2 linked regions of the Canis lupus familiaris genome follow. The protein of the gene in region 1 purifies or fractionates together with the protein of each later gene. This does not show direct contact. Links are inferred from orthologs where the notes say so. Each region holds a gene or a part of one and is shown in the gene's direction. Other genes may lie near its edges.

Region 1 (6,158 bases):
CCTTCTGTGCAGGTGGGAGTACTTCGAAGGCACCACCCTATTCCCCCCAGGTCTCCTACCCAAACTTGCTAGGAGGCTCCCAGCAAGGAGGACGAGGGAGGCTGAGATAGGAGGGTGACCTTGTGTTGTTTCTGGCCAGTGGCGCGACAGCCAGGTGAGGTCCATGGGCTGAAGCCTGCCCTGGCTGGGGTAAGCAGAACAACTCCCAGTTCTGAGCTCCAGGTTCCTTCCTTCCTCTCCCAGTGACCCCTCACCTTGAGACTGAGTGGGTTCTGCTAGGGGTGGCCCACCCAAACCCCAGAACCTGGCAGCAAGGCCCAAGGAGCCTCTGACCGGGCAGTTCTCCACGAAGCCCACGGGGACAGGCAGAGCGAGGGGTGCGGGGGACAGACCCTCAGAAGGACGCAGGCAAGGGGACTGAGCTGCCCCTGGAGCCCCTGTTGGTGCCGGTGGTCAACACTCACCTAGGGCCGGAGAACAGTGGAGGCTGCATTCAATTCAGGGAGAAACAGAGCAGGGCGGAGAGTGCCTTCTCCGTCTGGGGCTGCAAGCAGAGTGCAAGGCTGGGCACCCCTGAAACCGTGGACGCTCCGGCCAGTTGAATTCAGACAGGAAGGCAGCTGTGAAGTGCGGAGGCGGGAAGGCCCGGCGCACCGCCGCTTCTGGCTCCCGCCAAGCCCTGTTCTGTGGAGCTCTTCCTCGGGGGTAGCACCGGCCACACACCCCTCGCCATCCTGAGCGCCTCGGCTAGGACCCCAGGGTCTCCGTGTTAGTCCTTCCGCCCTTACCCGTTCACCTCTCCCGTGGTGAGGGCTCGGGTGCCACTCGTCTCACGGCACGACAAATGGGGCACACGGGGAGTGGCGCACAGCCAGGAGCCCACCCGCGGCTGCAGAGACCCCAGCAAAGGCTCGACCTCTGCCCCGCTCAGGCTGACTCCGGGGAAGCTTTAGGTCCCTAAGCCCGCAGAGCCCGCGTCCCCGGCAGGGCCGGGGTCAGCGCCTGCGTCGGCCCCCATGTCCCTCTCCAATCTCAGACACACGGGAGGAGTTCCCAGGCCCCTGGCCCGGACGTTTCGAGTTCCCCTCCGCGTCGGAGGGCTGCGAGGTAGAAGCACCCGGTCAGCTCCCGCCCTCGCACTGCCACCTGCTCCGCCGGCCCTCCCGCCCGCTCCTCACCTGGGCCGCGAGCGGCCACTTCCCCGAGGGTGGCCCAGCTCGGGGGCTCGCGCGGCGGGTACTCACCTGGGGCCCGCCCCCGCGGTGGCCGGGTTCGGACGCCGGCCCCCCGCGCAGCCTCCCCGGTGCCCGCGCGCGCGGCTCTCCGCGGTTCCGCGCGGACGGAGCGCGGCGGGTCCGAGTGTCCCCGGCCGCCGGGATTGTGGCGGAGCGCGGAGCTGGCGGCGCCACCGCTGTTGTTTTTGAGCCGCGGAGCCCGGAGCCGCAGCGCTGGGGTGGGGGCGAAGGGGAGGGGCGGGAGCCGGGCAGGCCGAGGGGGGCGGCGGGGCCCGGAGGGGGCTCCGGAGGAGGCTTCGGCGGAGCCGGGATCGGCGCGCGCGGCTGGGACACCCCCTCGGGCGGGGGCGGGGCGGGGCGGGGGCCGCGGGGAGACGCGGGGAGAAGAGCAGGCCGGGGCGACGCGGGACGCAAAGCTTTTTAATTAGGAATAAAATGCCATAAAACGGAGCCAACCCAGCCAGACCCGCGTCCGAACTGTGGGCGCGTCCCCCCCCCGCCCCCGTCCTGGGAAGGGGCGCGGACCCGCGCCGCCGCCACTCCGCCCGCGGCCGGCGCAGGGGCAGGGTGGGGGCATCGTCACCTCGCCTCCGGGGCCACCTGGGTCCTTTTAAAGTGTCCGGGGTGCGGGCCCCGGGCGGGAGCGCAGAGCACGGAATGTGTTCTTAAAGGGCCAGTTCCGAGCTGCGCTGGAAAGGGGAGGGGGGAGAGGGGGCGGGGGGGGGGAGAGATAAGTGAGAGGAAGACCGGGAAGGCCGAGGAGAGCCCCCCAATCCCGCGCCGAGGCGGCGGCGGCGACGGCGGCGCGACGATGAGGATGATGAATACATTGCAAAGTTTTTTTGGCCCCGGCGAGGGGTGTCAGATTGAGTGCTGTGTGCGCATGTGCGAAGGTGTCCAAACTGACAATGCTGGGGAGATGAAGATAGTGTGTAGCTGCTTCTGGACTCAAGGAGGAGGAGAGAGATTCCGCGAGCCGACACCATGCGATCCAAGGCGAGGGCGAGGAAGCTAGCCAAAAGTAAGTCTCCCGCGCTCGGCCGCGCCGCGCCGCCGGGTCCGGGCCGCGGGGCCGGGGCGCCCGGGCCAGGGGTGCGCGTCGGGGCGCGGCCGGCGCGCCCTGGGCTCCCGGCCCTCCGGTCGGCCGCGCGGCCCGGGGGCTGCTCCGCCTCCCGCGCTCCGGGGCGGCCGGGCTCGGCGCAGAGGCTCGGGGCGCCCGGGCCGCGCGCTCCCCGAAGGCGCCGGCCCCCTCCTCGCGAACCCCCTCCCCCCCCCAGTGTCAGGCGCTCGGGCCCGGGAACCCGAGGCGCGCGGTGGGGGCCGGGGAGGGGGGCGGAGGGGGAGGGCTGGGGGTGGAGGGGAGCGAAAAGCGAAAGTTAGCGAAAAGTTGACGAAAGGGGAGAGCAACTTTTTCCTCCTCGCTCGCTCTCTCCCTCTCTCTCTCGGAGTGGCTCTCAGTCCTGGTCAAATCATATTCCGGGCTTTTGAAATAGTGGGCGCTAGAGCACCGCCTTTGGCGTCCGCCAGCTGGGCGCAGAGGAGGGAGACCCCGAGCCGGGGAGGGGGCGGAGGAGGGGGCGCGGGCCGGCGTCCACCGCGCCTCGCGGGCGCAGGGCAGGGGCGGCGGCACGACAGCCCGGCCGCCGGGGCGGCAACACGGACACGTCCTCCGGGGCCGGCCCCGCGGCCGCCAAGTGTATTCCCGCCCCGTGCCCCGCGCGGCGGCGGGCGCTCCTCCGGGACTCCGGGACCCCGGCACCCGCGCGGCCGGCCCGGGAGGGAGCCCGTGCCTCCGGCGGGAGGGTCCCCGCCCGGCCGCCCCCGCCTCCCGCCGCCGCCGCCGCCCCCCTCGCCCCGGCCGCACGCGCAGCCCCGAGGCCCGGAGGGGACGGAGCTGCCCGCGGCGACGCTGCCCGGTCCCCGCTCTTACTTTCTCTTTCGCTCCGTCTCGGGCCGAGCCCCGAGCTCCGCGCGCCCGGCCCGCCGCCCGCCGGGTCCGCGCCGCCGGCCCGGTGCGCCCGCCGCTCGCCCCGCCGCCTGCCGCCGCGCCCGGGCCCCCGCGCTCCCTCCACTCCCGGACCGCTGGCGCCATCGGCGGGGAGGCCCGCGGGCCCGGGACCGCGGCCCCGGCGGAGGGCAGGTGGGAGCGGCGGAGCCGCGGCGGGGAGAGCGCGGCTCCCGAAGCCCCGGCCGAGGCCCGGCTGCAGCGAAGCGGGAGCGCCGCGCGGGGACGAACCGGCGCCGCGGTGCCAGCCGCCCGCTCCTCCGCCGGCCGCCCGCCCACCCACGCCGGGGGCGCCAGGCCAGCTCCCCTGGGATCCCCGCGCGACCACCAGGCCGCTCCGCCCGCCCCTCTCCCGCCTGACCCTGGCCGGCCGAGCCTCCGCACCGGGGCTGAGCCCCCGAGCACGAGCCTGGTGGGCTGGGAACTCCGACACTTTCCGAAGAAGTTGTGCTGTCGTGGTTGGGTCGGCCTGGCTCCCGGGACAGCGGCCCCGCGGGGCTAGGCCCGGCGCGCGCCATGGAGCACCGGGGAAAAGCAGCTCCCGGCGCAGGCAGGACGGCCCGGAGCCCCCGAGTTGTGTGGGGCTCCTCCTGGAGGCGCACCTTTCCGGCGCGTCTCCCTTGCCCGGTGCTCGGGGCCTCGGCCTCCTCCGTCTCCCCTGACCTCTGGCCCCTCTTGGTGCGAACAAGGCCCCAGTGTTTTGTGGCTGGTGCGCCAGGGCTGGGTGCCCGCTACCTGTGGGCCCGCAGGCCTGGGGGTGTGGGTGTTGGTGTGTGAGCACGGCGGCTTCCTGAGTCTCATTCCTGGGCTGCAGGCTGCCCCGGTCAGGCTCGGGCCGAGGAAGGACCTGCGGCTGGAGCCCTACGGTGGGACGTGCAGCCGCGCTCTGGCTGGGCCTTCGCTGTAAGCGAGAGGCGGCTCAGAGCCCCCAGCGCAGCCCTGGAAACAGCAAAGCGTCCTGCACTCGGCTCCCTGCCTGCTCCACCCCAACAGGTGGGGAAGGGGGCCCTGTTGGCTCTTCTCACCACTTGGAATGGGTGCCTGGCCCTGAGGCCAGGGGACCAGAATCGAAGATAGGGCAGAGCACAGGTCTCCCTGTCCTGGGAGTCCATGGTGAGAAGGAGCCAAAGCGGGGCAAGTGTGTCCGGCCCAGACCCCGCTGGAGCCCGCAGGAGCAAGCGCTGGAAACCCCTCACAGCCGGGACAGCTGTCCCCAGCCCTGCCCGAAGAGGTGGCCGAGGCCGGCACAGGGCCACAGCTGCCTGCCCGATACGGAGCACAGGATCCGCTGAGGAATTTCATTTCATAGGACAATATTTTAAGCAGATGTGGAGGTCCCTGGGGACCTGCCTCCATAACCTGAATCTGAGGCAGCAGGGCAGCCCCAGTGCCGCCAGGAGAACCTCCTCCTGCAAGCCACATCGAGGCCAGGGGCAGGGGGCTGGGGGAAGAAAGAGAGGTCACAGTTATAGGCCTGGGTGCAGGGCTGGGCTGTGCCTGAAGCCATGTGCGGGGAGCAGAAGGACAACCTGGTCAGTGAGTGAGTGAGTGTCACCCCTGAGTCAGAGCTTGAGGGCTGCCCCGGAGGCTGCATCTGTGGCTGTAATTTCGTTTGTGTTTCACTAGGACCCCACTCCAGGGGTCTCCCTGCGGGGCTTGCATGCAGACTGAGCTGGTGGCACTTCTGGGGCCCACCCTGGGGGCTGTGAGTTGAGCTTTCCAAGGACAGAGGGCCCTGAGGTGCTCACCACCTCACAGAGGGAGCCTAGGCAGCTGGGGACAGAGTGAAGGCAGGTAGGTCCAGGTCCCCTCACACAGGCCAGGGCGCTTGCTGGCCCGTGGGGAATCGGGGCTGTCCCTGCCCTACATTTAAACACAAAACGCCTAACAAAAGCTTTGTGTTTCTGCCACTGTTGTGAACCAGATGGGCAGGTATGGGGGTCTACACAGCCCAGGTGCCCTCCTGCCCTTGTAGCACAGCTGGGGGGCCCTGTGCACGAGACGATGTGCTCTCAGAGAGCCCCCATCAGAGCCGCCCCGAGACCTGATCACCATGGACGTGCTAAGACAACTAGACATGACATAGTCCAGGCCTGGGGATAGTGTCCTGGGGACAACTGCCGCCTGGCCCCCTGGGGTGGAGGTGGGAGTGCTACCTCTGCTTGATGCCGGACATGGTGTGTCCTGTGTGTGCATCTTCAGGGTGACGTGTGTGTGACAGGGTGTGGGGAGCCTGGCTGGAGGCTGAGCTCCTAGCCGGTTCCTTCTCCGAAGTAGAAAGCAGCGGGGCTCGGGCTCTGCTGGGCCCTGCCCTTCTCCCGCCGGCCAGGGAAAGCCTGCCCCTTCCACCACTTCTCTCCCCGCAGCCAGGACGGCAGCCTCCTGTCTGGACGCCTAGAAGGGCAGCAGTGCCAGGAAATGTCCGGCAGGAGTCGAGCGACTCGCCCCGCTTCGGGCGAAAACGCCGAGGCCACGGAGGAGGGGCGGGGTGCAGGGCTGGCGGCCAAGGCCAGGTGCCCTGCGGCAGTGCGCTGAGTGCCTGCAGGCTCTGGCTCCACCACTGGCCCCGCGGGTGTGCCTGGGCGCCCAGGCCTGTGGGCGGGGGCGGGTGCCAAGTCCTGTTGGTCGGGTGACCTCCGAGCGGGCTCCCAGGGGAAGGTCCTCACCACCGGACACCCACCGGGCCACCCTGCACATACTATTGGCCGTGGGCAGGGAGCAGGTGCGGGCTGAGCCGCGCCCCCCGCCCCCGTCCGGGGCCCGTGGCTCCTGAGAACCCTGAGTTACAGCACGGGGCTGCGGACCCGGTCCCGACGTTTCTGTTGGGAGGCCGGGTGCTGGCGGTGGGGCCGGCGGGAGGCTCCCCCCACTGGGCCCCTAGGGGGAGGCCGTCAGCTCACAGGGCCGCTGTAGGCTCG
Region 2 (5,440 bases), on another chromosome or scaffold:
TGAGTGAACACCTGGGGGCCCCCCGCAGACCACCTCCCTGGGAGTCCATGTGATGCCTGGCGGGATCCCAGCCACTCCGCAGTCCTGACGGGGCGTGAGCAGCCCCCTGGAGAGGAGCTCGGGGCTGGCCACAGGAGTGCGGTGGCCCAGGCCTGGGTCCCCTGGACGGAGCTCCCTGTGTGCAGGCCTGCAGCCGAGCCGGTCCTCCCAGGGCGGTTGGGCAGCCCTGAGCTGGGGTGGTCTCTGCCCTGAGAACGCCTCGCTGGGCACCACGTGATTACAGCTGCTCAGTAGAAAAAGGAATCGGACATGAAACCAATTTATTAAGAAACGTCAGTAGGTCACACTCAGGCACGTTGAGACTAAGGTAACAGATGGCCAGTTTGTGTCCATCACACGCAGCATCTCAAACTCTGCCCTGCTGGGCGTCGTGAAGTGGGTGCCAGTGGGTGAACGGCCCCCCGGGTGCGGCCAGCTGCCACACCGACACCCTCTCAGAGGCTTCTCCGATGGACCCACTGCTTTCCAGCTCCGAGGACCGACCTCCAGGAAATCGTGGAATTTTTTTTTTTAAGATTTTATTCATTTATTCATGATAGATATATATATAGAAAGAGAGAGGCAAAGACACAGGGACACAGGGACACAGGCAGAAGGAGAAGCAGGCTTCATGCTGGGAGCCTGACGTGGGACTCAATCCCGGGACTCCAGGACCACGCTGTGGACCTAAGGCAGGCACCAAACCGCTGAGCCACCCAGGGATCCCCGAAATTGTGGATTTTTATGGCAGCACAGCCAACAGCGGAGCAGCCCAGACACCCCAGCAGTTGGAACTTGGCATGCGTCTTGGCTTGTCCACGCTGGGACGGAGCAGGCACAGTCACAGTCGTGATGCGATTGCGTCCTGCCATGGCTCAGGGCTCAGGCGTGGGCACACACACCTGCCCGTGCTTGGACACTCTTCCTCCCCGCCTGTCCCCAGGCCAGTGCCTCTGCCCGGTCACCCCAGGAAGAGGCCCGTGCATGCATCTGGGTGCCCAGGCCCAAGACTCAGACTCACCCTGCAGCCTCCCCCTCCACAGTCCATCTGTCCCTGGATGCGTCTGTCCTCTTTCCAGGGCACAGCTGTGTCCGAGGCTACCCTCCTCTCCGGTCCACGCAGCTCAGCACAGGGTGGCAAGGTCTGCCCTCCCCGCTCCGTCCAAGCCCTCCCTGTGTGCTCCCCGTGCACAGCACTACTACTTGGCTGTCGCACGAGGGTCCTCACCCACCCCACGGGCCAGGCAGGGAGTGGGAGTACATGCAGCCTTGACGTCCTGGGAGTCCAGGGGGAGGCGTCAGGACGTGGGCAGCTCCCTGCCTGCAGGAGCAGAGATCCCCAGGACGCTCAGTGCAGGAACAGGAGCAGGGGCCAGCGGCACTTTGCAGTCCCTTGAAGGCCCAGCCAGCCCGCGCCCCCTTGGCCCGTGTGGGGTCCCTGTGGGCACGTGCCCCGGGCCACGTTGGCCAGCCTTGGAATGGTCTGTATTTTGGGTTGCCCTCTGTCCGACAAGCTCAGCTGCTGTAGAGAAGCAGATGAGAGGAGCAGTCAGCAGCCTCCCCATGGGCCCTGCACCCCACGCAGGACCCCTACTGTGCCTCTCACATCAGCCCCGAGTCCAGGCTGTCCTGGGCACCACTTCTCGCTGCCTTCCTCATCCTGGGGTTCAAGGTCACCATGGCCTGCTGTTGGCGTCCCTCGCCGGCCAGGACACCCAGAGCCAGCACGAGAAGCTCAGTCTGGAGGAGGGCAGCGTGGCGGACGCCGGGCTGCGGTGCCCAGCAGCCAGCGCATGCCCTTGGGTGGGAGGTGTCCTCGATAGGAAGGCTGCTCTGCGTCCCCTAGGGAAGGACAACCCCGGCCCTCGGCTGTGAGGCTCCGTGCGCCTGGACCATCCTGGGTCCCCGGCCCTTGGGCCTGGAGACCGGACACCGTAGGCACCCACCGGCGTCTGGCTGAGGTCCGTGCGCGACTTCTGCGGATCACGCCCTGGAAGGCACCACTCACGGGGCTGCCCTCCTGGACCTGGGACAAAGCCCCGGGAGCCAGGCATTCCCCACCCCTGACCACAGCCCGGCTGTGGCGCCCACCTGCAGGCCTCGAGGGTCAGGAGGCACCAGCTGGGGTGCTGTGCACGCGCCTGGCCCTGCGGGGGCGTGGTCTGCATTGCTGGGGCCTGCGGGGGCGTGGCCTGTGCGAGCCTGGCCCTGCGGGGGGCGTGGTCTGTATTGCTGGGCCCTACGGGGGCGTGGCCTGTGCGGGCCTGGCCCTGCGGGGGCGTGGTCTGTATTGCTGGGGCCTGTGGGGCGTGGCCCTGAGGGGGCGTGGTCTGCGTGCGGTTGGCCCGGCGGGGGCGTGGCCCGTGCGGGGCTGGCCCTGCGGGGGACGTGGTCTGTATTGCTGGGCCCTACGGGGGCGTGGCCTGTGCGAGCCTGGCCCTGCGGGGGGCGTGGTCTGTATTGCTGGGCCCTACGGGGGCGTGGCCTGTGCGGGCCTGGCCCTGCAGGGGGCGTGGTCTGCATTGCTGGGGCCTGCGGGGGCGTGGCCTTGTGGGCCTGGCCCTTCGGGGGGCGTGGTCTGCATTGCTGGGTCCTGTGGGGGTGTGGCCCCTGCGGGGGCGTGACCCGTGCGGGCCTGGCCCTTCGGGGGGCGTGGTCTGTATTGCTGGGCCCTACGGGGGGCGTGGTCTTGCGAGCCTGGCCCTGCGGGGGCGTGGCCTGTGGGGGCGTGGTCTCCGTGCGCTTGGCCCTGCGGGGGGCGTGCCCTCCCGTCCAGGTCTTGTCCGCACCTGCGCAGAGCTGCAGCTGTGGTTCCTGCGGGGCGGGGCGGGGCTGGAGCCCCCGCTTCCCAGAGGTCGCCCCGGTTGGGCGGTTTGCAAACAGTAGCGCCTCGGCCCACGTTGTGCAAACTCGGGAGACAGGACACTGACCTGCTCCTGGGGCTTCACGAACGGCAGCCAGGCCCGGAGACGCGTGGGCAGCGTCAGGGCCTGCGTGTGGGCGCAGATGGGGCCGTGGCGAAGCGGGCTGACCCGGGCCCCGGCTCCGACCCGTGTGCGTGCCGTCCGCGCCCCGGCGGGCCCTGCGGTTCCGAGGCTGTGTCCTCCTGCGCTCCTGTTTGCCTGGTGTCCACGCGGAAGGCGAGCCTCCTACCCGCCCTGCCCAGCGCTTCTCTCCGGGGGCGCGGCCTCGGGCTGCTTGGGGGTCTGAGCGCAGAGCCAGCAGGTCACCCTGCGGTCCCCTCGGATGTCACAGCAGTGGCTGCTGCCCTAGGATGTCCGCAGTCCCCAGCACACAGCGGAGGCGGGGGGGGCGGTTTCGGGGGGACGTTTGCAGCTCCCCAGCGGGGCCCGGCCCCTGACCGCGTGGCCCCTCCGCCGGCAGGTGCTGAACGAGGCGGTGGGGGCGCTGATGTACCACACCATCACGCTGACCAGGGAGGACCTGGAGAAGTTCAAAGCTCTGCGCATCATCGTCAGGATCGGCAGCGGATTCGACAACATCGACATCAAGTCAGCTGGGGATTTAGGTAGGACGCCGGGTGTTTCCTCCCTTTTGCGACTTGGGGTGTTGCTTCTTCGGCGCGGTCTCCTCAGCTTTCCTCTCGTCCTTTGGTTTTGCTTTACACCAAGGATTCCCTTGCAGGCCCGTATTTGGTTGGAGGTCACTTGTGAGCATCTTTCAGGGTTCAGGCCCCCCCCCAAACTCCCCAGTCAAACCGGCTCTCTCAGAAAACTTTGTAGGGGTCACGTGCTCTGACCTCCTCCCCGCGCCTGGGGAGGGGAGCTGGTACTTGAGCAGGGTGCAGCTGCAGGGGGTGATCCTCCCATGATCAGGGCGGGCAGCTGCAGGAGTAACCTCCCCCCCATGAGCAGGGTGCACACCTGCAGGGGTGACCCCCCCGATGAGCAGGGTGCGCAGCTGCAGGGGCGACCCCCCCATGTCGGCGCGCAGCTACAGGGGGTGATCCTCCCATGATCAGGGCAGGCAGCTGCAGGAGTGACCCCCCCATGAGCAGGGTGCACACCTGCAGGGGTGACCCCCCTCATGAGCAGGGTGTGCAACTGCAGGGGTGACCCCCCCCATGAGCAGGGCGCACAGCTGCAGGGGTGACCCCCCCACATGAGCAGGCCACACGGCTGCAAGGATGAACCCCTCTCATGAGCAGGGCGCACAGCTGCAGGGGTGACGCCCCCCACATGAGCAGGGCACGTGGCTGCAGGGGTGACCCCCCATGAACAGGGCACGTGGCTGCAGGGGTGACCCCCCCATGAGCAGGTGCGCAGCTGCAGGGGTGACCCCCCCCCATGAGCAGGGCACGCAGCTGCACACACAGACCCCACCCTCCCCATGCCCGGTCTTGCCAGTCCTTTCCCCTGGTGCAGCTGAAGAACCGGGGTCAGAACGGCCTGCCATTTGCGTCTACCGCAGACTCGGTTTATTCTGCTCTCGCGAGGACCCTCGTGCCCTCTGCTGGCTCACATGATGGAGCCCTCCCGCCCCACTGTCACCCGTCCCCAGGCTGCATCCCCAGCAAAGGCCCCTGCAGCAGAGTTGACCACAGCCTGGATGCTTTCTGCCCCGGGGACTCCCGGGGGGCTTTATCCCTGTTCCCCGAGTCTGTCCTGTCTTGTGATTCTACAGGCTGGGCTCTGTTCCTCTACCAGGGACAATCAGGGCCATGCCCTGTGGTCACCCTGGCCGTGTGTCCCCAGATCTAGGGGATGGTGTCCCTGTCACCTGGTCCTCCTGCTCCTCATCTCTTGTGTTCACGGTGGGCTGAGATGTTTCCAGAAGGGAGTGGAGGATCCGCTCTGGGCCCTCTCACAAAGCCCTGTTCACGTGTTGGGCATCATCCTGGCATTTAGGGTAGCGCAAGGAACCGGTAGGCGCCCTCCCCTCGGCAGGGAGGTGACCAGTCCCCGGGAAGCACTGTGCAGTCACAGGGGCAGGGGCGAGGAGGCGGCAGGGCAGGATAGGTAGGCGGGAGGGGCCAGGCTCGGGAGAGGCGGGTAGAAGCGCGGAGGTGCTGGGCATAGAGAAGCCTCAGCTCACTCCGCAGGGCTGCTGAGGGGCGGTGGGGGCCGTGGGGCTGTGAGGACAGGGCCACTCCGTCCAAAGCCAGGTCCCAAATGGCCTGGGGGCCGAGGAAAGCAGGAGGGGTGGGGCCTGCGTGGCTGTGAGCTGGCGGTCAGGTGGCTCATGGTGCAGGCAGGGAGACCCGGGTGTTGGCACCTGCCTGGGTGACCTCGCCTGTCCCGTCCCGCCTACTTGCTGGACCCGCAGGCGGGCCTACATGGGGACGTTTCTGCGGCCCGTCTTGGGGGAAGCACCAGGACTGGCGTTGGTGACCTCGCCCGCGCGTCTGTGTTCCCAGGCATCGCTGTCTGCAACGTGCCGG

Evidence for each region. The genes of interacting proteins can lie anywhere in the genome.
Region 2: the proteins of PRDM16 (region 1) and CTBP1 purify together in Homo sapiens (affinity purification with mass spectrometry; 3 studies listed by BioGRID and IntAct, with this or other methods). This does not show direct contact. The link is inferred for Canis lupus familiaris from reciprocal best matches to the Homo sapiens genes PRDM16 and CTBP1.

Annotation. Positions count from the first base shown.
Region 1 is NC_049226.1:58,177,662-58,183,819, forward strand, and holds the start of PRDM16 (histone-lysine N-methyltransferase PRDM16), read left to right. Parts: upstream 1-1,975; 5' UTR 1,976-2,219; coding exon 2,220-2,256; intron 2,257-6,158. UniProt on the Homo sapiens protein: Binds DNA and functions as a transcriptional regulator. Displays histone methyltransferase activity and monomethylates 'Lys-9' of histone H3 (H3K9me1) in vitro.
Region 2 is NC_049224.1:91,997,849-92,003,288, forward strand, and holds part of CTBP1 (C-terminal-binding protein 1), read left to right. Parts: exon of another isoform or gene 1-783; coding exon of another isoform or gene 784-1,914; exon of another isoform or gene 1,915-2,635; intron 2,636-3,423; coding exon 3,424-3,568; intron 3,569-5,416; coding exon 5,417-5,440. UniProt on the Homo sapiens protein: Corepressor targeting diverse transcription regulators such as GLIS2 or BCL6. Has dehydrogenase activity. Involved in controlling the equilibrium between tubular and stacked structures in the Golgi complex.